Tamandua tetradactyla: one gene and its partners. The protein of the gene in region 1 interacts with the protein of each later gene in a pairwise test. Links are inferred from orthologs where the notes say so. Each region holds a gene or a part of one and is shown on either strand. Other genes may lie near its edges.

What was found.
Region 2: the proteins of PSMA1 (region 1) and LDOC1 interact in binary tests that used the Homo sapiens proteins (3 or more experiments, as listed by UniProt). The two-hybrid records come from large-scale screens. The link is inferred for Tamandua tetradactyla from reciprocal best matches to the Homo sapiens genes PSMA1 and LDOC1.
Region 3: the proteins of PSMA1 (region 1) and MRFAP1L1 interact in binary tests that used the Homo sapiens proteins (3 or more experiments, as listed by UniProt). The two-hybrid records come from large-scale screens. The link is inferred for Tamandua tetradactyla from reciprocal best matches to the Homo sapiens genes PSMA1 and MRFAP1L1.

The regions. Positions count from the first base shown.
Region 1 is NC_135334.1:89,909,343-89,920,163, forward strand, and holds the start of PSMA1 (proteasome subunit alpha type-1), read right to left. Parts: upstream 4,566-10,821; 5' UTR 4,438-4,565; coding exon 4,435-4,437; intron 3,052-4,434; coding exon 3,007-3,051; intron 2,742-3,006; coding exon 2,640-2,741; intron 2,522-2,639; coding exon 2,418-2,521; intron 480-2,417; coding exon 391-479; intron 1-390. UniProt on the Homo sapiens protein: Component of the 20S core proteasome complex involved in the proteolytic degradation of most intracellular proteins. This complex plays numerous essential roles within the cell by associating with different regulatory particles.
Region 2 is NC_135353.1:16,897,892-16,906,759, reverse strand, and holds LDOC1 (protein LDOC1), read left to right. Parts: upstream 1-5,863; 5' UTR 5,864-5,983; coding exon 5,984-6,424; 3' UTR 6,425-7,229; downstream 7,230-8,868. UniProt on the Homo sapiens protein: May have an important role in the development and/or progression of some cancers.
Region 3 is NC_135345.1:6,190,510-6,201,433, reverse strand, and holds MRFAP1L1 (MORF4 family-associated protein 1-like 1), read right to left. Parts: upstream 4,140-10,924; 5' UTR 3,885-4,139; coding exon 3,501-3,884; 3' UTR 3,449-3,500; intron 2,952-3,448; 3' UTR 1,094-2,951; downstream 1-1,093.

The DNA of each region.
Region 1 (10,821 bases):
CTCATTTTTTTGGAAATGACATGTCCAAAACTTTTAGACTTTTGGTACATCTTGAACCACTAATAAGAAACTTTAAATTCACTCTAAAAATGATGCTAGGATAGTTTTCCTGAAACTGGCCTTATTTATATCTGGAAAATATCAATTGCTTGTAACGGCTAATGAAAGAGTCTATGTATTTCCTTATTTAGAACCCATTCTTCTACAACTGTTCCCACCCCTCTCTCTATATAATTGAACATACAATATGTGGAAAATGACTTCCAAATTTAAATATTATTAAAAATTAACTAACTTTGTTATATATTATATTCTGAATAACTAATAGATGGATTACATATCGAAACCCTTTAAAGGTCATGCTTATAAATGCTAACATAAAAAGGATACTGCTTCCAATTAGAGAAACAAGACGAGACACGGGAAGAGGTCTGTCAAATACAAATCTGGAATCCAAACATTCCTGGCGCATGAAATTACTAAAAAGGAAACAGGATTTTATTAGTAATTTCAAACCTAAGAGTTAATCCAATCTAAATAAAATAGTTTGGTTTCATTTTTGCTTCCTTTCATCGTTTATATGGATTACCTCTGTATAAAGAAATCAGAAAGGTAAGAGAAACACAACCATAAGAATACATTTTTGAACCAATGTCTGAGACGAAATGAGGTTTGTAAAAAGACTAAAGTATGTCTTAGCTCTAGAAAACCTTTGTCTCAGAGCACTTTACAGAATAGAGAAGAAAGGACTGAGCAAGAGAATAAAAACAATCGCTCTTCTCTTATCCTTCCCACTGTCAGCAAGTTTGTCTTAATTCTAGCTCTTGAACCAGCAAAAGAATACCTATATTGCTTTTTCTCTGAAAGCAGACTAACATTTCCCCAGTACAGCAATTATGAGAAATAGATTCCATATTAGAAGACACCTTAACATGTTCCTGCCAACGTTACGTCTCTCTGTAAGCAGAGCTTTAAAGGAGAGGCTTAACACTAGACTGTAGTCTCATCATTAAACCTGCCAAGATTCACACAAGAACACTGGGCAAAGGGGATTTCATGCCTAACTATTAAAGCCAAGAGGATAAACAATAAGAAATGGGTATGCTCCTTTCTTTCCATGTTGCTTTATCCAATTTATGCGTATGTCATATTGCATGATCAAATTTTAACCAAAGGCAGCAAACTATTCAAAACTTTTATTTAAGTCCATTTTCCAAGGTGTCTAAAACTACACTGTCCAACATGGCAGCTACTATCAACCTGTGGCTGATGAGCACCTGAGAAATGACTAGTCTGAATTGAGATATGCTGTTTAAGTACAAAATACACATCAAATTTCAAATACTTAGTAACAAAAAAATTTATATTTTCTCCTGTTTCTTTTGACTTTTAAAAGATATAGTCACCAGAAAATTTTAAATTATTTATGTAGATTGCATTATATTATTTTGCAGGGTAGTACTGGTGTAAAGGGTTTTGCTTGAATCCCTGTATTCGTGAAATGTTTGACAATGTAACACATTCTACATTTTCAAGAGTAGATGGAAAAGTACAATGCTGTCAAGATGACTTAGAGCAAGGGTCTGGCTGGATAACTTGAAAATTTTAAACATCAGCATTACTATTTTGCCTTTAAATTACTTTCTTAATTAATCATGGACATGAGTTTAGTTTAGCTAAATCTCACCACCACCCCCAACATACACATGTTCACATACTACTTGAAAGGCACTATGTTAAGTGCTCTACAAGTTAGGCTGTTTAAAAATAATCTTGAGAAAGAAAATACTGAGTAAAAAGCTACATGATTTACAGAGACTCCAGCTCTTCATTTATATATTGCTTCTCAATTAGAAAAAAAATCTCTAGCTCCTATGGACTCTAGTGGAAATTTATCTGTTACTTTTACAAAACTCACCACTTTGCACATTGTATCATAGACATTATACTTATTATGTAGAGTTAAGTTAGATTTTAAGCTTCTTGAGAACAAGATCCTTGTTTGATTATTAAGTTTTGCAAATAATAAAAGTCTAATAAAAATTGATATATGGAAGAAACCAAGGGTGGTTCAGTTCATTCTTGGAAACTAGAGAAAAATTTCAAGCTTGTCTTAAACATAGCATTATTAAAATATTAAAATTAATATACACTGATTTAACAAGCATTACTTCATTCAATGACTTCTCAAAAGCATATTATTAATATGGCTAATTCTATTAGTTACTACTACAGGGATGGAGAAACTGAATACTTAGTAAATCAGCCCAAGCACTAAGGCATTTACAATCTTTATACACCTTTTAGCAAACAACTTCCTACAACACTTTATTTGGATCTTTTCTAGAAACAGAGAATAATCAATTATAAATCTAAAGGGAGTGTTTCTTTTTTTTTTTTTAAATAACCATACTCACCATAGCAGTCTAGCATCAGCAGTAAGCCCCGCAATTGAGATACCAATATGGTTGTCAACATGGAGAATTTTTTTTTGATGGGCTGCAAGCTCTGATTGTGCCCTCTAAATAAAAACATTATAAGACATAAAGACAAGTTTACAACTTTACCGTGTATACAGTGGACTTTACATTTCGTAGCTATGTTTTTCAAAGGAGAAGACAGATTTGCTGTTTACTTACCTTCAATGCAACCAACACTGCATGGGTTTTTGATTTCAGACCAACTGTAGCTGACCCTTGCTTGACAGCTTCCATTGCATATTCAATTTGATGAATCCTGCCCTAAAGAGTGGAAAAAAAAACCTCACATCTCAGAAGACACATTTATAAAGTAAAACCTAATTTAGAGCTCTCAAAACTCAGGCAAGCATAGTTAAACCTCAAATAATTTTTTTAAAACCAGGAAATTTAATGATAAATAAAAGTTCCAGGATGTCTGAAATGATTATATTCCATTTTCTTACAGTATCCAATCTTATGAATCTCTAAACATATTGCAGCCACCAAAAGTCACGTCATAGAAATGGTATAAAATCTATTATTCTACCTGAGGGCTCCAAACAGTGACATCATTGTCATACTGGTTGCGAAACTGAAAGTGAAGGAAAAAAAGAGCTATTAATATAAGAACATTACAAATCTCAATTCTTAAAATGTGCTATCATTAAGAAATAAATGTTCTTGAATCCTCTGCATTCAACATTAACCCAAGTCTATTAACGTAACCTTATATAAGATCACTACTGTGTTCAGTTGCAAGACAATCCCACAAACATTTATGAGGAGGAGGTGGGTTGGGGATGGGGAAAGAAGAGGAGTGTAGGCAGAGCTGGACAGAACTTACTTTCCCAAATTCCTATTGTACCACTCTCCACAGCATATATTTTTAGGTTGAATACCAAAGTTCATAACTGTCAACTTTCCTTTATGTTTTTGCTTATGCATTCATTTACCCTGGGCTCTAATAAATCCCCCCAACCCCTACTTCTTCCTTAAATCAGCTCAAATATTTTAATCTTGAATTCTCCGTCTCTCCAAAAATCTCAGCACACGCTCCCATAGTTCTTTATATACACTTCCTTTCTTTTTTCTATTATGAATAGGGGCATGTCCGACTTCTCTTTGAACTCCCACTACATGTAAAACAGTGTTTGTATGTGTAAACACATAAATATTAATCAACAAACACAAAAATGTCCTCAGGAAGTTAGAGGTGGACACAAGTAATTACAGCAACAGAACCATTACTATTATAATGATGGTATTAAAACAAGTCTAGAAGCATAGTACTGGAGAGAACAATCACTGGGATGAAAGGATTGAGTGCTGCCGGAAAGGCAAACACACAACTGGAAGCCCAGAGCCCTATCATGTAACCCTCATTCTAGCACTCCGGCTCTCACTCTTGGTTTCCCATCTCTAAAACTAGTTTACTGGACAAAGTGATTGAAAAGGGCCTTTTCTGATTAAGCCCTAGGGATGAGAATAATTATAAATCATAGGGATATGATAAATCATTCATTCATCATTAATGATCATTTCCTGGTCCACAAGGAAAATCGGCGCCGTTCAGGAACCCAAACTCTGAGTCAAGTTCTCACTGGGGGTACTGGGGGGCCTCCAAGACCCTATTTTCTCCTCATCTCTCCCACACAGAACACGAGAAGCCATACTGGACCGTTCGGGATTTACTTCACTGAAAGACGCTGAAGGGAAGACTGGGCTAGCTGATAGAGTAAGGAACTGTCCCAGACCACTGGGAAGCGAAATAAGTCCCGGGGAAAAGGCCGCAGCGGACCGACTCTCGACCGGCCTGGCCGGAGATGCTGAATCACTGCCCGGGCCCTCGCGTCGGCTCAGGCTCCCATGCCCCATGGCCCCGGTCCGCTCTGAAGATGACAGGAAAGACGGTTCGACATCTCCCAAGCCACCGGACCTCAAACCCAATCCTGCTAGAGCTGGAGACTAAACGCACCATCGTTCCTGCGCGGGACCGGCTGCGGCCTCCTGAAAAGCTCCCGATCGAGGCGCGACGCCGAAACTACCGCTCGGCGGTCGACAGAGAAGTCTGCGAGAATTTGACCGCGGCAACGCAGGGCAGGGCAGTCTATTCCAGAGGCATCGATAGACCTTCACCACATCCGGGACTTCAAAGCTGTCAGGTCTCTCAGGGATGGGCGGGACTTAAATTGATCAAGGAACTGAGATTGGCCGGAAACCTGGCCAATAGTGCCTCCGGCGCCTAAGAGCAGCCGGGCAGACGCTTACCACGTTGACTTTCTCCGATCCGCCTGAAGTTATCTGTGCTGTAACCGTTTGCGTGTGTCAGCCATAGCCTTTCTCGAGTGTACATGCTTAACCCTCTATGTTGAAATACTCTTCCCAAAGATGGATAGTCATCTTTGAAGGCTGTTGTCATTTATCACTCTTTATTATAATTGTTTCCCCCACCAGACTGACATTCCGTGAGGGTGCTCTTGTATTTCTTTTTCATGTAATTCTCTGCCCTCAAAATCAAGCACCATGCCTGGTAGAACAGGCTGCTGAAAAAAACATATTTTTCTCCACATTTACAAATTTTCTCTTTTGAAAGCATCTTTTGATAAATCCTTAAGTGAATAGCTCCGCAGACAACCGCCAACCTAATATCTGCCCACTGCTAATAGTGACTTATTTTCTTTATACAGAATAAAGGCTAATACCTAGACTCAGGAAAGGTAAGAGGTGAAAGAGACCTTAAGTCCAATCTGAACTTTGCAGATGAAGTCACAGATTCAGATCACTTAACGATGACTCTTAGGTTCCCAGCAATTTAGTGTGGGAACCTTGGTCCAGTGCTCTTTCTTCTCTAAAAGGTCTGTCGTTTTTTAAACGGAGGGTCTTTTCATTTAGCTGCTTTCAAATGTCCCTTTTTCTTTTTTTTTTTAAGTTTACCTTTTTCTTTTTTTTTAAGCTTACCTGCTGTTAAGGATTTCAGTATACTTCTAAATGACTTTTTTCTTATTTCAAACATGAAACATGATCATTGTAGAGAATTTAAAGGAAAATGAAAACAGCTGACTCAGAGATAATTACTATGAATATCTTGTTGAAGTTGTTTCAGATTTTGCTTTTAATTCTTTTGTACATGTATTTATTATCTTTTACCAGCTTGTGACAAAAAGGAACATAGTTTTAAAACTTTTTCCACTTATTTATTGTGAATCTTTTTCCATGTTAAACATTTTCCATGGTAAACATAATTACCTAATATTATGCATTATAAACATATGATATTTTATTTACTCAAATCCTTATTGTTGACTAGTGTCAACCACACCCAGCGACTGCAGTTTAGCAAAATGGAATACAGCTGGCTCATCAAGAAGGCGCAGGCAGGACCATGGAGAAAGAATTCACATATGGAGATTATCAGAACACTACAGAATGGCTTCTATTCCACAGAAAGCACTGGCCTTAAGTGGCTGAGATCTGTGGTTCTGTGTTAGGAGGTCTGGTTCATAAAGTAACTCAGGCCCAGAACTTTGACTACACTGAGATACACAACTTCTCTCAAAATAGAGTACCAATTCCTGTTGGACAATGGGTATTTGGGTTCCTGAATGACTAATCCTGTGTGGTGATGCAGGACAGATTCCACTTTCATGAAGGTTGCCTGCTCTGGAAAGTAACATTCCGAGTGTGGGTTTTCTGACTTATGGGTGAGAATCCCTAGTAATCACCAATGCAACTGGAGGGCTCAACTCTTAAGTTCGAGGTTGAAGATATCATGCTGATCTGTGACCATATCAACATGTCTGTTTTCTCTGGCCAAAACCCTTTCAGAGCCCCCAATGATGAAAGGTCTGGCCATCATTTTCCTGCATTGTCTGATGCTTATGATCGCAATCTGAGTCAGAAGGCTAACTGTGCTTGGAAACAAATGGGGTGGGGGAGCAGCGAGAGCTACAGGAAGGCCCCTTTGTGATGGTAGGGGGCCCCAACTTTGAGACCATTGCAGAGTCTCATCTGCTGCAGACACTGGGACCTGATGTACCAGAAGTTATAGTTGCATGGCACTATGGACTTTGAATTTTTGGCTTCTCTTTCACCATGAACACGGTCATCATGAATTATGAAAGCTTAGAGAAGGATAATCATGAGGAAGTACTGGAATCGAGAAACAAGCTGTGCAGAAATTGGAAAAGTTTGTCCCCATTTATAGCTGGAATTCCGTCCTCTGGCATTGCCATTTGACCAGCCTTGGAGCAATGTGGTATCTAAGTAGCTGCTATCTTGTTGGGGTCACCTTCCTCCCCCCTTAAGGAGTAGCAGGAAAGAGGAGGATCCCTATCCTCCTGGTGAGCTTCTCTCATCAGACCGTTTTGGTGCCAGTTCCTGTTTTGTTCATTTATCTTCTCCAAGGAATTTCCATTCTTGTTGATCCCCCAGAGCTGGAGCCTGTACCCTCCCACATGTCTGTGGATATTCCCATGATTTGACTTCGGCCTTCAAACTTGACATTGTGATTGCTACTAACTTTAAAATGATGCTTTTACATTTCTGGGGACTCAGTTCTGCCATCCCCTTAGCATTGGCGACCACACAAGGACCAAACCCAAACCTCTCAAACTTTAATGTCATTTTTTTTTTAATGAAAAGAAAGATGTATGATAAAAAAATCTCTATTGTTGAATATTAAGGTTTTTTTATCCCCCACCTCCCAGGCATCTCATCTATAAGCTGTTTTATACGTATATAAATATATTTATATAAATATGTGTATTATCAGCATTCATACTCTTTTCTTTAGAATAAATTCCTAAACATGAAATCACAGAATAAAATGAAATGCACATTTTAAAGGCTTTTTATAAATAGAGCCAAATTGCCCTCAAGGAATATTTTATTAATTCATATTCTCAACAGTAGTGGATGAGATTGCCATCGTTTTTCTTTTTCCCTGCGTGGACTGGAAATTGAACGTGGTCTCCCAGCATGCCAGGCAAGCATTCTATCTCTGAACCCAACCATGCATCCTGAGGTTCGTTATAAAATCACCAACACTGACTGCTCATTTTACAATTGCCATTCAGTACAGAAACATTTTTGCAATTCTTTTCCATATGTATATACATGCCTCACACACACATATATAATAAATATACTTTTTTTTTTTACAAATAAGATCACTCTAAATTGTTTTATACTAATACATTTTAAAAGTTTGGGCCATCTTTTAATTTCGTTAAGTAATTATATTATTTTTAATAGATGCATAGTATTCACTGTGTGGAAACATAATAATAGCTTATTGGTGAGTAATTAGGTTATTTACAAAATTTGCTACTCTAAAAAAAGCTATAATGACTCTTCTTGTACATTTGCTTATTTTGTTTACTTTCCGGATTATCTCCTTATGATGAATTTATAGGCATAGAATTGCAGGTCAAAGGTAACCTACATTTACAATTATGGTAAATGTGGCTAAATGGAAGAATATACATTTATTTTCTACAGTGCTTCAAAGTCTACTTTCTTTATATCCTTATCAACATTTGGTATTGGATTTTTGCCTATATCAAATTGATGGGGGTGGCACCCTCTTCTTTTAATTTTCTTTTTTTTTGCTTACTAGTAAAAAATCCTTTCATAATTCTTGGCTATTTGTATTACTTGAGTGAATTGCCACTTCATTTTTCTTCTCAAGTTTTTATTGACGTTGTGCTGATTTGAAAGTATTATGTGCCCCAGCAAAGGGAGGCAAGGTTTCTTTTAATCCTGATTCAAAAGTGCAGGGTGGAAACTTCTGATTAGATTATCTCCAGGGAGATCTGACATGCTAATTGTGGGTGGTGATCTGACCCCACCCATTCCAGGTGGATCTTGATTAGTTTACTGGAGTCCTTTAAAAGAGGAAACATTTTGGAGAGAGCTTAGAGCAGAGCTGATGCAGACGCTTGGAGGGCAGTTGTTTCAGAGCTGACAGAGCTGATGTGAGACCTGGACATTTGGAGATGGGGGGCTGGCAGACGTGTGGCCCGGTGGACATGAAGCCTAGTGACATGGAGCTCGGGGGGCAGCATCACATGCCTTCCCATGAAATGCTGAGCAGGCCAGAACCCAGAGTTGTGTCCTGGAGGAGCTAAGTGAAAGCCCACAGATAATGGATCAGGAACCCCCTCAGGAAACAGAGATTGAAAGCACCAGAGTCCAGGAGCAGGGAACCAGCAGATACCAGCTACCTGCCTTCCCAGCTGACAGAGGTATTCCAGACCCATTGGCCTTCATTGAATTAAGGTTTCTTTCCCTGGATGCCTTAGTTTGGACATTTTCTCTGCACTAGAATGTAAACTTGTAGCTTATTAAATTCTTGTTTTTGGAAGACATTAGCATATTGCATTCTGTCAACTTAACAAACTAACACAGATGTGTTAATGATTTTCCTCATTGATTTGTTTGTACTTTCTGCCATTAGGTTACTGTGTTACTTTTATAGAAGGAGACTGTTGTATACAAAGAAAAAAAAAAAGAAACTGAAGCTGGCCTAAGTAAAGTTGGGGGAAGGGTAAAATTGTAAACATATAATAGGGAATTACATAAACATCCAAAGATAGGGATTTTTACTGTTTTTTACTGGCTAAGGTCTTCCTAATGCCTGGAACAAAGCGTGTCATATAGTACACACTCAATAAATACTTGTTTAATGAATAAATAAATCTCTGATTCTAAAACCTGTCCTTTTGATTATTTCCTAAGCACATATCTGGGGCTTTGTGATACTACCTTCATTCATAGTGATTGGCTGAGTCTTCAGAGTGTCTTTTATGAAAGCTCTACTTGTAGATAACTGGAGGGTATTTGGTTGATCTTTTTGTCAAAGCTGAAGGTCCTAGTTACTTAACTAAAGTTTTATATGGCTTTCAATTCCTCTATGCATATTTTAGGGATTTGGCTCAGGATACATCTTGATCCTTAACTAGGAGCTGAAAAATTGATCAATAAAGATATTTTGTAGGAAACTGAGCCAGCAAAAATAGCTCTAATTCGTTCATTGAAAGGCCATAGGTAACTCATGTCAAGCTTTTCTAGAATCAAAAAAAAAGAATTCTAAATGAAAGCCAAGTTGAAATTTTTTCCATGACCATGTAAATCTTGTGTCATGCTATTTAGAAAATGTACCCAATACATTGAAGAAAATGAAATGTATAGGGTACAATTAGAAAATAACTTATATTTGCTCCGACAGTACTTATGGAGTTGGTTCTTCCCTGCTCCTTTTTGAGTAGTCTGAACTCAGTCTTATTTGATTTCCCTTGTATGTAGTAGATTGTTTTTCTCTTGCTGCTTTCAGGATTTTCTGCTTCTCCTTCAATATTTGACAGATTGATTAGTATTGCCTTGGGGAAGGCCTATTTGGATTTATTCTGTTTGGCATGTTTTTTATTTGGTCAACAGAGTCTTTAATCTCTGATTTCTGCAATTTTTCTATTTATTCTTTCAAATCCCTCTTTGTGCTCTTCTACTGTGTTCTTGATCTCCTTTATGTCATTTGCTATCCCACTTATTTTATTAAGTAGAGTTGTATGAACAGCTTTAATTAGTTGTTCCAACGTCTGTGTCTCCTCTGGTATTTTAATTTGGTCATTAGGCAGGGCTATATCTGTCTGCATTGTGATATTCTTAGTGATCTTCTGCTGTTTTACTGGCATGTAAATATCTTGATTGATTTGCTTTGGGAGTTGATTTCTTTCAGTCATCTAAGGCCTTGAATTTGCAGGATGGTTGTACAGCAGGGAGCAGGGCGCGGGGTGGAGAACTCAGTGCAGTGATTTGCTTCAGGGCAGGTATGGGCACAGGTTGGGGATGTTACGCTGATGCTTGTGAACATGGGCTTCCAGTGGCCAGGGAGGATATAACTGTGTGGGTGCCCTGGTCTGAGGGGCGTAACCAGGGCTGTGCCCTGGTGTGTGCTGGTCTATGGCATGGGGCTCTCTGTGCGCAAATGTAGAGCTGTGGCATTACGTCTTTGTGGATTGGGGATAGGGGATAGATGTGACCTGGCTGTGCAGTTTGGCATTTTCTCAGAGCTGGGAAGTGAGAATGCATGTACAGTTCTAGGACTGCTGTAAAGTGCGGTTCCCAGAGCTGAATCACGTGATTGGGGCCCTGTGTATGTGTGGGCCTGGGAGTGCCATAAATGGATGTGCTGAGCTCAGGGAGGGTGGGGTGAGGCTCTGTGACACCATGTGGGGGGGGGCGGTAGTCTAGGTATGGAGGTTAGTGCCCACCACCTTTATGCACTGGCAACAGCCTTCAGGGAACAGGGAGGGGGAGGTTGTGCTCGTGAGGGGTGCAGGAGAGGTGGTTTGGGCTGCATTTG
Region 2 (8,868 bases), on another chromosome or scaffold:
TACATTATGTGCCTTCTGATATAATGCACTGAGGAAAAAACCACAGTAACACTTCGGTGGTTTTCCTGTTGAAAATGTAGGTGACTTGAGAGGAGAGAATTCTTGGATACAGCTGAGGGCAGACCAGACTCTGGAACTCTGATGGAGGCAGACTAGAGTAGCAACCAGGGCTGAGAGGAAACTGTTCCTTGTATCTTGGATGTCCTTGGGGCTGCTGGCCTCTCCTGGTAGAGCCACTAGGTGGTACAGGGGTGCAAGGAGGTTTCTGGAAATACAACTGTCTCTATTTTCGGAGAAGATTGTTTATCCACCTCCCAGATGTAGCATGGATTCTCACAAGATTGATAGAGAAAATGGAAAATGTTACAAGTCGGATTATGGAATGTGGTGATGGATTCTTTTCCCTTAAAAACTTATGTCATATCATTATAAGAACAGAATATTTGGAACTGACAAAAAGCAAGGCCAAGATGAAACTTTTTTTTTACTTTTCCAGATCCCTCTTATTCAAAAGGAAACCTTTTTTTTGCATTTTAAATTTCATAGTTAAACGTATAGATACTAGAATAAAATGAGACAGCTAAACTAGCTGCACATTAAACTTAAAATTCAGGTATTACAATCACTGCAACTCTAGTAAATTACAATTCCCAAGTGAAAAATAAATAGTAGTTCTAGTTAAATTACAATTCCCAAGTGAAAAATAAATAGCAGTCTTTGTATAATGTTTTACAGTTTTTCCAATACTTTTAGGCTATATCATTTGCTCTTCATTGCAGCCTTATGCTTTAGAGCCTATTATTATACATCATTTGTTAGTAAGGAAACTGAGAAACAGGATTAAATGATTTGCCAGAGTCACACAGTTTGTAAGCAAAAGAATGAGGACTTGAAGCCTGGACTCCTCTTTTTTAAAATTCTATTCTTTCTTTAGTACTTTCCTGAAGTGTGCCTCACTGCCTTTAGGTAGGCATATAAATATAAATTCCGTGGAGAAAACAGTCTCGGTTTTGGTTCTATCTTTGTCATACTGTAGCATTGCCAGTGCTCAGTACAAGTACCATCATTGCTGGTAGAAAGTAGGGGTATGTTCATGTCCGTGTGAACACAGATGCTAACCCAACCACGCAGACACACACATGCATATGCCTTTGGACTGTAGGCTCTTAACATTGTCAGTTCCTCTGATATGGGATTCATGCCTTCATCTTTAGAATAGCCTCAGCTTCTCCATGTTTCAGTAATCTACTGCCATGCCCCAAACTATCCCCAAACATTCTGGTTTAAAGCAACTGCCATCGCTCAGGATTCTGTTGATCAGGAATTCATTTAGGGCCTAGCTGGATGGTTTTAGGGTTTTTTGTATTTCTTTTTCCTAGTCATCCATTCCCCTGCCTTCATGTAGGAGAGCCTCATGGGAACCTGGTAGCTTGTGAACATGAGCATAAGGGTTCTATAAATCCCGTCCACTAATATTATTCATCTCTTCCCTATTGCTCCCCCAGCAGTCCCTGTTCAGCCACCTGTCTTATCTCCTTCCCCCCAAGCAAGGAAGCACCTCCCAAAGTCACTTCTCTGCTCTGTGTCCATTTATGACCAGGGAATTTTCTGTCTTCCAGGATCTCAAAGCACCTATTCTAGCTTCTTCTCTGACTCCCTCTCTGCCATGGGGCTGGAGGAAGAGGACGAGAGCAGCATCAGTCGCCTCATCTGTGGTCCCCAAAAGACATGCTTGACTCCCAGGAGCCCAGTGCATTAATTTTGTCCAGTGGAAAGGCATGTGCTTTAGGGTCAGAGAGGCTGGGTTGTGGTACAATGTGGCCAATATTTTTGAGTCCTGGTGTGTTGGTTTGAAAGGATTATGCACCCAAGAAAAGACATGGCTTAATCCTAATCAAATCTTGTGGGAGCAATGTTTATTTATTTATTTTTTTTTAAAGGAAAGACAGAGAGAAGGAAGGAAGGATAGAAGGAAGGAAGGAAGGAAGAAAGGGAAACATCTTTTAAACATTTTCTTGTTTTATTGTATTTTGTTTCTCTTTGTTTTTGTTACATGGGCTGGGGCCGGGAATCGAACCGAGGTCCTCCGGCATAGCAGGCAAGCACTTTGCCCGCTGAGCCACCGCGGCCCGCCCAGCAATGTTTATTTTAATCCATATTCAATAATGCAGGCTGGTATTCTTTGAGTAGATTATCTATGTGGAGCTTTGACATACCAATTATGGATATTAACCTTGGTTTAGAGGGAGATGTGACTCCACCCATTCCACGTGGGTCTTAGAAGCATTTTGGAAAGAACCATGGAGCAGAGAGTCCAGGCAGCCAGAGACCTTCAGAGATGAAGAAGGAATACACCCCCGGGGGAGCTTCATGAAAAAGGAAGCTTGGAGAGAAAGCTAGCTGACATCGCCATATTCACCATGTGCCTTTCCAGTTGAGAGAGAAACCCTGAACTGTATCAGCCTTTCTTGAGGGAAGGTAACCTCTTGCTGGTGCCTTAATTTGAACATTTTTATAGACTTGCTTTAATTGGGACACCTTCATGGCCTTACAACTGCAAACTTGCAACTTATAAAATACCCCATTTTAAAAGCTGTTCTGAAATGCTAGTGATCAATGAAAGGGAGGGGTAAGGGTTGTGGTATATATGCATATTTTTTCTGTTTTAGTTTTACTTCTTCTTCTGAATAGATGCAAATGTTCTCAGAAATGATCATGATGATGAATATGCAACTATGTGATGATATTGTGAATTACTGATTATATATGTAGAACGGAATGATCAAAATAAGAATGTTTGCTTTTGTTTAGTGTTTTTTGGTATTTAAAAATGAAACAATAATAATAATAATAAACAGCTGTTCTGTTTCTGGTATATCATATTCTGGCAGGTAGCAAACTACAATACCTGGCCTTAGCCAAGTCAGTAACTCCTGGGTCTCAGTATCCTTGTCTAATAAGAATAGGGTGTAGTACCCACCTCTGTAACATGGCCTTTGTGCATGGGTTGATTTGACAGCCCAGGTCAGTCACACGGCCCAGTACCTGTCACAGCTTGTGTGTTCCTGGGAGTAGAACCCTGGGCATTTCTTCCATATCAGAGCCTGGACCTAAAAGGTAGAGCTGGACATTTGCCTCTACCCCAGCCAGGCTCTTGTCTAATCTGACCTGTGAATGTGCAGGATGGCCAAAAATCTTCCCCCCAACATTTCAGATCCCTTTATTCCATCCACTGAACATATATGGCACACCTAGTAACACTTTCAGATGATGAAGATGAAAGGATGAAAGAGAGAGGGCCTTTGCTCCGCCCTCAAGGAGCTTATGTCTAAGGGGGGAAGGGGTAGATCATATCACAGGAGGGCTAGGGGTTCACATTCCCACTTACTTCTTCTTTTCCCTGCCCACCCTCTCTCCTAATGACTCTTCTTTTCCTTGCTACTTGAAACTTGACCCTGTTTCTCTCCTCTCTCCCAGCCTCGCTTTTCCAGGGGTGACCATTCAGTTCTATAGCAAAAGACTGAACAAGGTTTTAAAATATCCAGTTGCAATTTTTATTATGCCAATTCTCACTTCACGTTGGAATGATTCATGATTACAGATAGAACATATGGGATAATTTAAAGAGTATTTTTGGATACTGTGCAACCATCACTTCTAATTTTTATCTTTACACCTGTACCCTGAGCTTCCTTCCCTACCCAAACATTCAAGGAGCACCTATTCTGGGCCTTAGGTTTTTCTCAGCTTTAGGGACAGTTACAGCTAACAAAGCAAAATCCCTGTCTGCATGGAATTACATTCTAAAGGTGGAGTCATAAAATGATAAAAGTGCTACATAATATGATGGCCACTGGTGTAACTAGTGCTATGTAGAAAAATGAAGCAGGGTAAGTAGCAGAGGGCCAGGCGTTCCAATAGACGGAGTAGTCAGGTAAATCTACTCCAAAACTAACTGGGGAGACATCCTTCCAAGGTAGAGGAAATAGCAAGAATGAAGGCACTCAACTCAGCAGGTGAACTCACTGCCCTCCCTCCCATGTGTGGCATGACTCCCAGGGGTGTAAATTTCCATGGCAACGTGGGACAGAAATCCTGGGATGAGCTGGCACTTGGCATCAAGGGGGTTGGGAGAGCCTTCTTGACCAAAAGGGGGAAGAGAGAAATGAGACAAAATGAAGTTTCAGTGGCTCAGAGATTTCAAACAGAGTCGAAAGTTTATCCTGGAGGTTATTCTTATGCATTATATAGATATCCCTTTTTAGTTTATGATGTATTGCAGTGGCTGGAGGGAAGTACCTGAAATTGTTGAGTTGTGTTCCAGTAGCCTGGATTCTTGAAGACAATTGTATAAAGATATCACTTTTACAATGTGGCTGTGTGATTGTGAAAACCTTGTGGCTGATGGCTCCTTTTATCCAGGATATGGATAGATGAGTAAAGAAAAGAAAGATAAAAATAAATAAATAATAGGAGGGCAAAGGATAATATAAATTGGGTAGATGGAAATACTAGTGGTCAATGAGGGAGGGTAAGGGGTTTGGATTGTGTGAGTTTTTTCTTTTTTCTTTTTATTTCTTTTTCCGGAGTGATGCAAATGTTCTAAAAACGACCATGGTGATGGATACACAACTGTGTGATTATATTGTAAGCCACTGATTGTACACCATGTATAGAATGTATGTATGTGATTGTATACCATGTATGGAATGCATGTGTATGAAGATTTCTCAATAAAAATATTTACAAACCAACAAACAAAAAGAATCAGCTAGGACAGTGTGGTTAGAGCAGAGCTAGGGATGGGAAGAGACTGGAGTGAGTCAGAGAGAGCCAGTGGCCAGTCACTGACAAGTTAGTGCCCTGGAGGCCATCCAGGACTTTGATTTTTATTCTGAGAGGGGAAACTGTTGGAGGGTTTTGAGCAGGGTGGGTGATGGGATATGACCTTTGTGCGAAGGCTTTTTGTGGCTACTCCGTGAAGAATAGACTGTCAGAGATCAAGAGTGAAAGCTCAGTGATCATTTGAAGCCCTCTGAGTAAGAAACGAAAGCTTGAATCAGGGTAGTGGAAGTGGAAGTGATAAGAAGTGATTAAATTGGCGATTTATTTTAAAAAGCAGAGCCAAAACGCTATGTGCATTCTAAAGTCGTGGGCCAACTGAATTGCTCAACAAGTTTGAATGTGATTATTCAAAGAAGAAACGCAAAATCATTTAGAAGCACAAGCAGCTTATTCATTGCTAAGAAATGCATAATACCCGTGGTCGAGGGGCATTACTAATATTAGACTATGAAATAAAGTCTGCCTGCAAAAGATTATCAGATGCTGATTTTGCAGAAATTTTTATACCGCACTATTAAGAAAAAGTTAAAAAGGAGGAAGTGTACAACATTATTTTCTAACTCCAGAAAAGTCCCTGCTTAAATACCGTTTTCTTCATGTCTCTGTAAGGATTTGTGACTCCCGCAAGACAAGCACTTCTGTGGTCAGTAGGGCCAAATCGATAATCTTCTGGGTGAGTCTATATTCAAAAGCAGGGAAATGTGTTAACAGAACTTCACGCAAATGGAATCTGGTGTCCGCAGATGCACGAAAGAAAACTGAATTGTGCGAGGCAGTCGAAGGTGCGGTGGGATGGCTAATCTTTTCAACTTGAGCGGGTCTGCCCTCTGAAGTAAGGTCTTCCTGCCCTCTGGGTCCTTGGGTTCCAGCAGGGCGCCGCTTCGGGGCTTGGCTGCAGTTCAGCGGCGGTTCCCAGGGTCGGCCGGCCCCTCCTCTGACCACACCCTCCTCGCGCCGGGCTGGCGCGCCGACCGCCCTTGAGGCCTTGTGGGCGGGGCCTGCGCAGCCGCCTGGCCCCCGGCGCGCACCACCCTCCGCCCTTCTTGGCGGCGCGTCTCGGCGGACACGCACTTCCTGCGAGGCTTCTGTGTGGACCTTGACCGAGCCGAATCGAGTGGACCCCTCTGAGCGGTTCGCGATGGTGGACGAACTGGTGTTGCTGCTGCACGCCCTCCTGATGCGGCATCGTGCTCTGAGCATCGAGAACAGCCAGCTCATGGAGCAGCTGCGGCTGCTGGTGTGCGAGAGAGCTAGCCTGCTGCGCCAGGTACGTCCGCCCAGCTGCCCGGTGCCCTTCCCGGAAACGTTTAACGGCGAGAGCTCCCGGCTCCCCGAGTTTATCGTGCAGACGGCGTCTTACATGCTCGTGAACGAGAACCGGTTTTGCAACGACGCCATGAAGGTCGCATTCCTAATCAGCCTCCTCAGCGGGGAAGCCGAGGAGTGGGTGGTTCCCTACATCGAGATGGACAGCCCCATCCTTGGTGATTACCGGGCCTTCCTCGATGAGATGAAGCAGTACTTTGGCTGGGATGACGGCGAAGACGACGACGATGACGATGAAGATGACATTTACTAGGCCCAGAGAGCCCAGGGCCTAGGGTAGGGGGTTAGATGCCCCCGCACGTCGCCGCCACCCTCCTCCTCTTCTCCTTCCTCTCCTCTTTCCCCTCTCTGGAAGCCGCCACACTCCTCTTCTTGCTCTGGCCCTCTTCCCTCCCCCTGCCCAGTCCCCTCGTAGAGCTTGCCTTTGTTCAAAGGAGTGCTCCAGTTACCTGCTGCTCTGAAGTGCTCTACCTGCCTTTCCACTCTGCCAGCCCCAGAACCCCTCCCCTGCGAATATGGACTGTGTCCTGAGCCCCAGTGGTGGGCCAGGTCCCTGCGACACACTGGACAGACAACACCACAGCGGTGCTGCTGCCAGGCCTGCATCTGCCCAGAGACCTACGCTGCCACTTCACCTGCACACATCACATCGCCACAGATCATCGCCTTTGGAGATAAGGACCAACCTCAAAGCTGCCTGAGTTGGCTACACCTCCTTGGACGCTGATTTGGACAGCCCACCAACCCCAGAAGAGGGCTAGTGTTTCAGCCTGTTTTGTTTCCTACCTACTCCCAGAGTCCTCCCCTGCCCCACTAGATTGCTGCAGGGGCCTCGTATACGTGGTAGCCAAATCGTGACATTCTTTTTCTCCTGCGCACCCAGTCTTGCACACTTGTCATTTTTCTTCCAAAATTGCAGCGGTCCCACAGATGTATGCATTTGGACAAAAAACTAAAAATAAACCAAATGAAGGAAAACAGGCTCTCAGCCCTCCTCCTCAGTGCTACCTGGAAAAAACCTTTTCATTCTTTTCAATAAATATCAAGCACTACTAAAAAAAAAAAGAAATTATTGTCTCTTAATGATTAAGTGCTATCACTGATCTTTCTCCCTTCTACTCTGGCTTCCTGTATTCCCACTGAGATCAGGTAACCCAGTTTGGTTACAGCATTCCTTACTGTCATCTGTAAGGCATGGAAGACAGCCACCACGGGGCTTTATAGGGATATTGGTGCTCTCCTCACCAAGGTATTTCTTAAAGCCTTGGTGAAGGGAGTGTCCTCTGGGCCCTCTAGGGTGGCATGGGTGGCTGATAAGGTGGCACATCATCCCACACACGGACAGTTTAGAGAGTGAAAGGGGAGGCTATTAATAATTAGACTTGTACCACAGGCGTAGACCTGGATACATGTACAACATTCCTATTTCCTTGATCCCTTTTGGATTCCTTTCTCAACACTGCCAGGGAAGTTCTGGACACTACTCCTTATTGCTTCTGAGCTGCAGCTGAGTTCAGGCTTCAGTTATCCAAGTAACATTGTTTTAATGCTATTTTCAGGTGCTTGAGTTAAAGCTTGGATAAGTCCACACCTGTGATTAATATAGCCCACCTTTAACATTCAGATACCCTTAGATTCCCCTTCTGTACATGTGTCCCAGATTCCTACCTCTACAAATTGGCAAGATGCTTGGCTCTCTCCTGAACTGAGCCTTGTACTACCATCTGGACTCTGCTGGGCTGCCTTTGTGGGTGTGGAGGGCTCGGAGGCCATGAGGGTTAGAGTGGGCCCTGAGGACAGTCTGATTATCTTTGTGAGGCAGTTTCCGTTGATGAAATCATTGAGTTCAAGGCAGAGAAAAATTGTTGGAAGTTTGTGGGGACTACCTCTGACAGCCAGGACGCTTCAGGAGCATTTGATGGGTCCAAAGTTCTCATCTGTATCTGCCCAAGCCCTACCTTAGACCTATACTTAAATTAGATTATACATTTCTTTGTTGCTTAAGGCCTCTTCTTTCTTTCTTTTTTTATACAGTTTTATTGAGATACATATTCACATACTATATAATCATCTAAAGTACACAATCAATGGTTCACAGTATCATCGTATAGTTATATATTATCACCACAGACTTACACATTTCCTTATTACTTAAGGCCTCTTGAAACAAGAATGGTCTTTTACTCTTACTCCAAGCATCACACAGTCACTTCCCAGGTATGGGAAGTAGGAAGAAGGTCAGAGATAAACAGGAGCAGAGCAGACTTAGTAAGTAGATACGAGAGCATGACAAGAACCCATTTATTCTTTGCCATCTGAAGTGGAGCCCGAACAAAAGCCACTTCACCTAGTGAATGGACAAAGTCCAGAACAAGAGTGATTTCTAGGGCTGAAGACAGCTGTTTGTGGAGACAGAGGTGGATACATCTTAGCAAAGGAGGTTGAGGCCTGGGTGGGGATGAGACCTGGGGCTCTTTGGGGAGCTGCTTCCTCCAAACCTGAATAAAAAGTACTACTGGTTTGGATTCGTCCATCACTTCTGGTAGCACCCAAACACCCCTTGGAAGAGATGGCAGATTAAATACGGGACATGATATGTATGAGGCCAGATAATCACATTTTTCCCCCTCACTAGAAAGACGTTGAAGTGGAGTTTGGGGAAGGGGTGAACAAGAGCTGAAAGTTGGGTAAGGGACC
Region 3 (10,924 bases), on another chromosome or scaffold:
TGTTTTCAGAAAAACAACAAACTTCTCTGACAAAGTATTGGAACAAAACATTATTAAAGACTCAGTCACGAGAAGCCAGACAATGCAAAGTGAAGACTGTTCCTTGGAAGAAGCAAAGAATTTCAAAGCAAGGGGAGTTTGGGTATGACTGATTGATGATATATGAAAGACTGACTTCAGAACTACCGACAGAAGGCAATCAAAAATTTCTAGCTGACTTTCAAGTTGATTAAATTCTACTAATATATGATTCAATTAAGGGAAAATTTATGAGTTACAACAAACAGGAAATACAGACAAAATCCTGATATTTTTGTATTATCACTAAATTGCATTTTTATCATAAGCATGGGATAAAACAATAGTCTGACACAACAATGCTCTGCGTAAGCCCAATGGGCAAAAACAATTCAAAAGGCTCTTTAGGCTTAGACTCCTAAAGAAATGATGTGTAGTTAATGAAGGGGAAAAAATATACACTCTGTATTTGTATAAATACACACACACACACACACAAATATTCAGCTTTATCCTCACTGTTCCCCACCCCCATTACCTGTCTTTAAATCAGTGTAGCTTACAACTGAGTTTCCTCAATTAGGACCTGCAATGTCCCAAAGAAGGGCTGCTCCTTCAGCTAGGCATGTAATTAAGAGGACAATGGGGAATTAAAAAAGAGAGGACATGGAGCAACTAAACTGCAATGCCCATGCACGAGTGAGAAATAAACCTTGGTTGTTGTATGTCATTAAGATGGGGGTCAACTGTTAGTTTATCATAGTCCAGTTGATAGAGAAAGACACCATGTCTCAACCCTAGGAATACAGTTAGTCTTCCCCTCTTCTGCTCCAGTTCAGGACCCCCAAGTCCCATCCGTATTTCTGCACCATCACCATCTTCCTCCCTTCACTCAAACTCCCACTAATCCACACACCGCAGTTGCGTTAACCTTTCTAAACCACAAATGCGATCGTGATCATTCCCCTGCTCAGAAATTACCAATGGCTGCCAGAAATACTTCTCCCTTTGTAGTCAAGAACCCAGAAAGCCTGAGGCATGAACAAGATTCTGGAAACCACAACCCAGGCCAAAATAGCTTCTATAAGATTTTTATTGTGCTCACATATTTTATTTTTTAAATGACAAGTTTACACATTAATCCAAAACACATACCAAAGCTCATTATGATGAACATATATTTGGTCTTATCTACCATCAAAATTTCATTTAGGAATTCTGGAAATGACACCATGCCTTTTCTATGGCTTTTGCACATCCAGTAGCAGACTAAGAAACTGTCCAGAGTACAGTTACCTCAAAAGTATAGGCTTATAAAGATGAATAAACTCTGCTTGCCTCTTCCACTTCATCTCCCACAAGTACCTCCACATTCTGAAGTTCCAATTCACTGGCCATCTCCTGTGGGCTGGAACTCCCCAGGTGTTCGCTCACATTGCTTCCTGTGCCCCATACACCTTCACTTATTTCTACTTTCAGAAGCTGTACTCAACATTCAAGGCCAAGTTAAAACACTTGCTCTAAAAAGCTTTCCCAGACTCCCTCCTCAGTGTTTCCACAGGAGCACACTCTATTGTTATTTGTTTCCATTTCTGTACCACACACCTCGTGCCAATCCATGAATTACTTTTATATTCAAAATACTTTGCCCAAAATAGGGAGCACATCACATTCCCACGGACTGAGTGACTAAACATGCTTGCACTGCCGAAAAGCAAGAGTTTGGCCAGAAGTTTCTTCTTCTTTTTTTTTTTGCATGTGCAGGCACTAGGAATAGAACCCAAGTCTCGGGCTTGGCAGGCGAGAATTTTGCCGCTGAGCCATTGCACCACCCCAGAACTTAATTTCTTCTAAGAATGGAAGCGTTTTGTCATCTCTTCCCTGTATCATCTTCCAAAAGTAATTTTCCCTCACAGAAAAAGGCTTACTGAAAGCCTCATAAACTACAGCAGTTTACCCCCTTTTGATGATGCCAACACTCAGATAAGAATATCCATTTCAAAAGAAATTTATTTATAATTCTTTAATTGACACACATAGAGGATTTGGCCATCTGAACAAAAAGAAAATTTCAGACAAAGGCTCTCTAAGTCTTGTTTTTCAAGGCAAACCAACACATTCCACGTTTGATTTTGCCCTCAACTCCATCAGGTCTATTACCCTGATGAACTAGAAAGGACTTTATGAGCCCTAATGATGCTTTTTCCTTTCTCCAGACTCTCCACACTTCTGTAGATTGTCTCTTTAATGCTATACTCTGAAGCCCCTATAATGTGTTGAGGGCATCACAATGGTGAAGCACACCCATCATTTTATTCAAACTTCTATGTCATAAACTTCTGAGCTAGGTTGTCTAAATAAACTCACCTGACAAAATACACAATATATATCAGACCATGTGCTACACAACATAGCTCTCCTCCTTTGTTTCATACAGGAATTAAAGTTTCAAAATATTTACAAATCCATCTTCCATCTTCAACAGTCTTCTAGTTCTTCCCAGTCTGATCCAAAGCAATCTCGTTTATACATTCTTCACCAGATGCAACCCAGCAGTGCTTCCCAGTGCACCTCTAAAGTTGGAAGATTCTGATCACAAGTCTTTACATGTTCCAAAGTTCCAGAGAGCAATACTAGGTCATGCCCAACATTTCAAAAACACAGCAAAACAACAGAATAAATGTGACCACTGAAACAACTTTTGATTAAGCCCCATTCCCCTCATGAGAGTATTTCTCAAACAAAAATTATTTTTACAGATTCAATTACATCTGACAATACAAACCTGTATCAAAGTCATCAACCACCGACCATGAAGGAGACTGTTACATGGGGGTAAAAAACATTCAAAAACAAAACAGTAAAAATGACAAGCTGTTTCAATTTCTTCAAGTCCACTCTTACCCGCTGACCAGAGTCCATCAGCTGTGAACCTAAAGCACAATTGGAAGAAATTTACCATCAAGACATTCTGAGTCTCAGATTTCCATATCCTGATGTTTAAAAACTTTTACAAACATCTAAAGAATGTCACTTCTTACAGACAAGGTGCTGCCACACACCCGTCTTCCAGAAAAATCTGGGAATTTCTATCTCTCTCTGCCTGTGTTCTCACCCACCCTCCCCTAGTTTGCTCTAACAGCCTGGTTCCCCGCCTCCCCCTTCCTTAGCGCGGAGGCAGGTGTATCCCCGGCGACTGTACTACCACAGCTGACGCTTATGTTTCAAGAAAACGAACTTGAACTTTTCTCTATTACCAGAGCGGGAGGAGGAGCTTTACAAAACAGTATCTACTAACAGCTAACCAAACGAACGCATTTATTTTCCCCATCGCCCCCATTCCCCATCTTTAATGCAGCAAAATTGGGGGACCACTCCCAGAACGTTACCATTTTTAGAGGATGCTGTTTAATCGTGCTATGACAATTACCGAAACATCAATCCAGCTCCCGCCGGAGGCCGGCCACACCGCCACTCCCCCTTCAAGACGATTCGCTTTTCTCTATTCGCCAGACTAGCTCGACCAACATCTCTGCCATCTTCGCAATCTCTTTAGCCTTTTCCTCGGCCTTCTCACACAATTCCGACACTCTCTCATCGGCGTCTCCGTGTGGGTTCTGCACGTGATTCAAAGCGCTCTCTTCCGACGCCTCCACCTGCGTTTTTATTTGGATGAGCATATTGTCCATCTCCCACAACTTGCTCCTGGTCCTCAAATACGCTCTTCCGTGCTCTCGTATGAGCGATGCGATGTCCTCCCGCATCTCGTGGATGACTGGAAGCAGGAATTGCTCGAAATCTTCCTCCGGTTCCAGCAATTCGACCTCCTCGGGGGCTTCCACCTCTTCGATGTCCAAGGGCCGCATGTTCTCCCGCTACCCCTTCAGAACCTCAGTATCGACGTCCTCCTCACGCGCGCCCCCCCGGGGAGGGCTGATCACGTCGCTGCCGGACTGCAAACCGTGACCAGAATTCCCGGCTTACCCTTAAAACGCTTCCTCCGCTTAAACCCTTCGATTCACAGCTGGGACGCAGAGAACGCCTCGCAGAAACGCAGCGAAGCGGCCCACAAAATGGACTCGCCGCCGTCAACCGGCGCTCTGCGTCTTTGCGGCCCTTTCACGACACGGCTGCGGCCCTTTACGGTCACGCCTCCAAAAAACTCAGGGCTTGGGCGCGCGCACGTAACAGGATCGCGGGTGTGCGCATGCTCGCCTCTCTTCTCCGCTGGTGCCCGCTCCATCCCCTCGGGGGGACGGGACGACCGTAGAGGTTTGCTCGGCACGTCAGAGGCGGCTTCTGTGGACGGATTTTTACTTTTTTAAAACAATATGTGCTCTCGGGCCATGCTTTTATTATTTAAAAAAAAGCAATATATGCAAAAGCAATCCCACACCCCCACCCCACCCCGTATTTGGATAAGACTCCTTGGTGTCCCCAGCATTCTATGGGGGCCGAGCAAGCACTGCTCTGAAGTGCTTAAGTTACGCTGAATGAACTCACTTAACCCTCACAACAAACCCGTGAGCTAGGCCCACAGGTGGGGACGTAACTAAAATCCAAGCTCATGATTAGCATTTGAACCCCGAGCAATTTGGGTCCACAACCCCTGTTCTGAGCTACCGGATTATGCGCCCTCGCTGGGACAAAGCCCTTCAGCCCAAATCCGTGGATGCTGATAGCCCCTTTCATTCCCCTCTTCTGTACTGGAGAAATTTCTTTGACTACCTGGGTTACTATGGTCTGTTTTTTTGGTCTCTCTTCATCAGACCAAAAGCTCCCCAAGGGAAAGGTTCACTTTTGGTTCAGGTCTGCGCTCAGCCCCTGCCGGCAGCCTGGCATCAGGTAGGGCCTTTCAGAATGTTTAAGAGAAAAGGAATTTCTCCCTAAATTATCAAGTGCTTCCGTGAGACTGTAGGCTCCTGGAGGGCAGTTCTGGTCTTGGTCACCTGTGTGCCCCCACCCGCAGGACCTGGCGAACAGCTGAGTAAACGTTGCTTTCATATTCATTGACCATGTGATTTGATCACTGAAAGTGTGTCATTGTGGGATGGATGACGTACATTTCTAGGCTTGTCACCCAATGTCACACTTGGAGTAATTTGGGGAAATCCCGCTTGCTTGCATGCTAAAGATAAGAACATCAGTTTTCCAGTCCCATTAAAGGCCAGTGATCCCAGTCTTCGTATCTGTCGGTGGTGAGAGGTGTAAGTGAAACAACGTGCATGCAAATGTTTTGCAAACCTCAAAGTACTAGCAGATGTAAGTGTGCTTGTGTATTATAACTCTGCTTGTGTAAATTGTAGTGCTTGATATCAAAGATTTTGGAGTCAGAGTAATCCAGAATTAGCTCTAATTCTTCCAATTATTTGCTCTGTGGCTTTGGACAAGCTGGATAACCTGAACATACCTCTCTGGGTCTCTTTCCCCCTCTTATCCTAAGGTGGGCATTGAGGATAGTGATTTCCTAAGTAGGGGACCATGTGGCCCAATATTTTAAAACTCATGTCCTGGTGTGATAATTCCCTACTCTAAAAAGTTTCTGGTTTGATAAATTAGCCTTTATTAAGATTATGAACTGCTGTTCATCAAAAGGCACTATCAAGAGAATGAAAAGGCAAGACACAGAGGGCAGAGAGATATTTTCAATAAATATGTCTGACAAAGAATTCATACTAAAAAATATTGAGAAGTACAACAGATCAATAACAGAAAGTTAATTATTAAATTGGCAAAAGACTTGAGCCAGGATTTTATTGAAGAGGACATCCAAATGGCCAATAAATATGAAAAGGTGCTCAATTTCATGATTCAGCAGGGACATGCTTATGAAACCACAGTGAGACAGCACTAGACATCCACTAGCATGGCTAAAATTAAAACCACTGACAATACCCAAGTACTGTGGTGTGTGTGTGTGTGTGTGTGTGTGTGTGTGTGTGTGTGTGTGTGTGTGTGTGAAATATGGTACATTGAATTGTGTTCCTTGCAAGTCCTAACCCCTGGTCCTGTGGGATTAATTTGTAAATAGGATCTTCAATGATGCTTTTTACATGAGGTTAAATCTAACCCAGGTGGGCCTTAGTCTATTGTGACTGGAGTCCTTATGAGGAGAGGAAGTTTAGACAGACAGATGATTGAGCAGCAAGAGAAGAAGCCAGAGGAGAGGGCAGAAGGAAACAGATTACCATATGTTCTATTTACTAAGCTGCTGAAAGCAGATACCATAAAATGCTCTGGGGCGGGGGAGGGGGTTGCGGTACAAGGGTAGCTCCATGATAGAATTCTTGCCTGCCATGCAGGAGTCCGGGTTCGATTCCCCGATCCTGTACTTCCCCCAAAAACAAACAAACGAAAAATACCTCCTTTAGGGCCTAGAACATCAGCTAGTCCCATCTCCCAACCCCATATTATTGACAGCCCCTTCCAACATAAAAAAGTTAGAATGGCCATAGCCCAAATACCCCTAAAGATTGGGATTGAAAGATCAGAGGTGATGGTGGAGTTAAACAGAGAAGGTAGAGTTCAAAAAACGATTATGATTGCTGAATAATATCGATATTTCTTTCAGTCTCCAGTATCTTAGGATAGTTAGAAGTAAAAACCCAAAACTGTGGAATTGCAACCCATACCAAGCTCTGAAATCTGTTCTACAACTAATTGTTGTGCTGTGATTTGAAATTTCATTGCTTTTTTTCTGTTTATGTTATTTTTCACAAAAAAGAAAAAAAAGTCAATTATGATTATAGAAAATGTATATTTATTCCTTCTAGCCTCCTATATTCTGGAGCAGCTAGAAGGAAAAATCTGAGAGGATGGTAGCCCGTGGCAAACTCTGGGCTCTCTTGTTGAAGAGTGCTTTGAAAACTATTGCTTTTTTCTTTCTTTGTTTTGTATATATGTTATAGTATACAATAAAAAAAAAGTTTTTAAAAAATGCTCTGCCTCTATCTATGGGAACTTATTAGCTTACAGGCTTACAGTTTTGAAGCCATGAAAATTTCCAAATCAAGATGTCATCAAGATGGTGCTTTTTTCCTGAAGACTGGCTGCCAGCAATTGGCAAGGCGCGTGGCAGTGTCATTTGGTCTCCCTATTCTTCTGAGTTTCTTTGCTTTCAGCTTCCTGTTTCCATGGCTTCCTCTCTCTTTGTCCAAATTTCATTCTCTATAAAGGGCTCCAATAAGAGGATTAAGACCCACCTGAATGAGGTAGGTGATATCTTATTAAGATCCTACTCACCAAAAGATCCTACCCACAGTGGGCCCACAGCCGCAGGAATGCATTTTGGTGGGTACAGCTTCAAATCCTCACGCCATGGGATGGAGCAGAGATTGAGCCAGCACCAGAAAGCTACAGCTTCAGAGAACACATAGCTTACCATTACGTCAATTCTGGACTTCTTGCCTCCAAAATTGTAAGACAATAAATTCCTATTGTTTAAGCCAACCAGTTCATGATATTTTATTTATTATACCAGGCCTGACAAACTAAGACATGGAAGAATTGGGCTCTCGTACACACTATTCCTGGTGGGAATATGCATTGGTAAAACCTTGGGGAACTGTTTGGCAGGACCTGTTAAGGTTAAGCATATACCAACCCCATGACCTAGTAGTTTGACTCCTTGGTACATACTCAAAAGATTTTGAATTCCTATGTACACAAAAAGACACACACAAGAACACACATAGCAGTTGTATTATGAGCCCCAAAGTTGAAATAACCCAAATGTCTATCAGCAGGAGAATAAATAAATTGTAGTGTACTTTTTCAGTGGTATATTAGTTATATATTGCTGTGTTACTAGTTATCCCCAAATTTAGCATCTTAAAACCACAAACTTTATCTCACCTGGTTTGTAAGGGGCTGGGGGTCCCTCACAAGGTTGCAGGCAAGCTATTGGTTGGGGCTGCAGACATCTCAAGGCTTGACCAGGGCTGGAGGACCCACTTCCAAGATGGCATATTCATGCGGGTGTCAGAAGCAAGCTGGCCAAAGGCCTCAGTTCCTTGCTTTGTGCTCTCAGATGAGCAGTTTTTTCAGACTGCTTCCTTTTTTAAAAAAATTAGGAGGATCAAAGCTCTCTTCGTTTTGCACTGTCTCTGTCCCCTCCAGTCCAAACTATAGTGTTTCTTCTAATATAATTATCTTTAAAATATCATAGGAATTGGTAGAGTCATTACCAGGGGCTGGGGTGGGTGGGTAGGGAATGGGTAATTAATGCTTGAAGTGCTCAGAGTCTCTGTTTGGGGTGATGGGAAAGTTTTGGCAATGGACTGGGATGATGGAGCCCAACAATGGGAACATAATTAATGGCACTGAAACATATATTTGAATGTGACTAAAGGGGGGAATTTTAGGTTGTGTATATGTTACTAGAATAAAAATTTTTAAAAAGTAGGACTGTACAACACAACGAACCCTAACGGAGTCCTTGGACTATAGTTAATAGTACAATTACAATAATATTCTTTCAGTTGTAAAGAATGTAACACAATAATGCATGCTGTTAACAATAGGGGGTATATGGAACTCTGTATTATCATTTTTATGTAAACCTACAAATCTCTAAAAAAAGGAAAAAAGAAAGAAAAAGACACCCTAGGACTCTTCTGAATCTCACTGGGGTGCACTCCATTACACAAAAACCCACACCTGCAAAACCTTCTTGGGCTTCTGCTGATAATACTGAGGAACAAACTCTTAAAGAGTCCTAGAGGAGGCTATTTCACAGGGAGAGGAGGAGATATTCAGATCCTTGTAAATGAGGAAATTTCCAACGCCATGAGAGTGTGACCAAGACAAGACACATATTCAGAAAATTCAGGAGAAGATACCACGCTTTCATCTCAGGCCGATCTGCAGTTTCATTGGCAGGAGAGTGAAACTCTGAAGCAGAGTAACAACCACCACAGAACCAATTTGCAAAGACTGTGAAAAATGGTTTTCGTGATGCATTTGTTTTTGTTAGCTGCTGACATGTAAGAAAATCTCTGTCATATCACTATCTGGGTTCGGACTTAAGGAACAGACAGATCAAGGGCTAAATTCCGTTGTTAGCACATTAAAATATTAAAATGTACCAAAAAACCCAAAACAAACAGGAAACTATGGCCCATCCAAAGGAACAAGATAAACCATCAGTGATTTAATTAGGTTCTCTAGAGAAACAACCAAAAGGAGATATCTGTAAATATAAGATTTGTAAAGGTGTTTCATGCAAGAGTAGGAATGAGAGTCCAAATCCACAGGGCAGGCTGCGAGGCTGGCATCTCCAATAAAGGGTCTTGATGAACTCCATAGGAGAGGCTCGCTGGCTGAAGATGCACTGAAAATTCTGTCTTCTTCCTTAAAAGTCTTCAGCTGATTGAATCAAACCCAACTGATTGGATTATCTCCTTTGCCAGAGACATGCCCTTAGTTGATCACAGATGTAATCAGCCACAGCTGCAATCAACTGACTCATGATTCAATAAACCAGCCTTCTGGCTTATCAATCAGCCACTAAATATCCTTGCAGCAACAGTTAGGCTAGTGTTTGCCTGACCAGACAATTGGATATCACCTAGCCAAGTTTCCACCAGAACCTAACCATCACAATCAGAAACAATCAACAAAGAATTTTCTATTTTCTCTGTAAAAGGGAGATGCCTGGAGATGCCTAGACTTATGCCCCTGAGGAGGGGACCCTCACACACCTGAAAGAAGTGTAGGACCACACTCCCAGAAGACCTGTGTTCTCTAATATTTAGGAGCTGAAAAGCGAGTATGCGCTAGAAGAAGGGAAGCTTTACGTTTGGCCACAGTAGGTCTCAACAGAGACTAAAGATCAAGGCCAGTAGAGGAGACACTACTGTGGGAGCGTACTCAGTTCCCATGGGCCGGAGCCAGAGGCAACTGCCTGGAATGTCAGTGCAGTACCATGTTTGGTACAAGAATCTTAGCCCAGAATCCTGTGTTACCAAAGATGGGGTGTCTCAGAAGGCATTGAAGGCCAGACAGAGGAGAAAGAGGGAGACTCATGGGGGCAGGGTGAGGACCTCTGTTGATGGGGTGAAAAGAGGAGCCACAGGAGGTAGGGTCTTGGCCCCCAGAGGGGAAGAAGGGAGGGAGTGTGGGAAAGTCTGAGGGAGCTGAGGAGGAAGTGTGGGGTGGGGGCTTGACTTGACTCCCATCGGACTCCTGCATGGAGAGAGGTCCCCATTTGGGTCTCAAGGGCAGCATCACCTGTCACTCCGAGCCTTGTTGGATCTGCACTACGTGGAGATGGGCCTCTGCCATCTCTGAATTCCTTCTCAGAGTACATTACATCCTGGGGGAGGAACATTGAAAATGATTCCACCCTTCTGGAATGTATTAGTCTGAGTTCTCTAGAGAAACAGAACCAACAGGAGATATCTGTAAAGAAACTTATAAAGGTGTCTCATGCAACGATGGGAATGCAAGAGTCCCAAATCAACAGGGTAGGCTGTGAAGCTGGCAGCTCCAATGAAGGGTCTGGACAAATGCTACAGGAGAGACTCACTGGCTGAAGAAGCAGTGAAAGAGTCTCTCTTCTTCTTTATTCATCTTTAACTGATGAGGTTATCTCATTTGTGGGAGAAACACCCTGAGTTGATCCCAGATGTATTCAGCAACAAATGGAATCAATTGACTGATGATTTAATACACCGGTCTTCTGATTTATCAACCAGCCATCAAATATCCTTGTAGCAACAGTCAGGCCAATGCTTGCCTGGCCAGACAAGTGGGCACCATCACCTGGCCAAATTGACACCAGAACCAACCATCACATGGTAGGACACAGAGTTGCATGAGGAAGCCAAGCAAGAAGGAATGTGAAGGCACATGGCCAAGGCCCTCCTGGCCAATAGGCATAATTAACCAGTCCAGACAGTCAGAG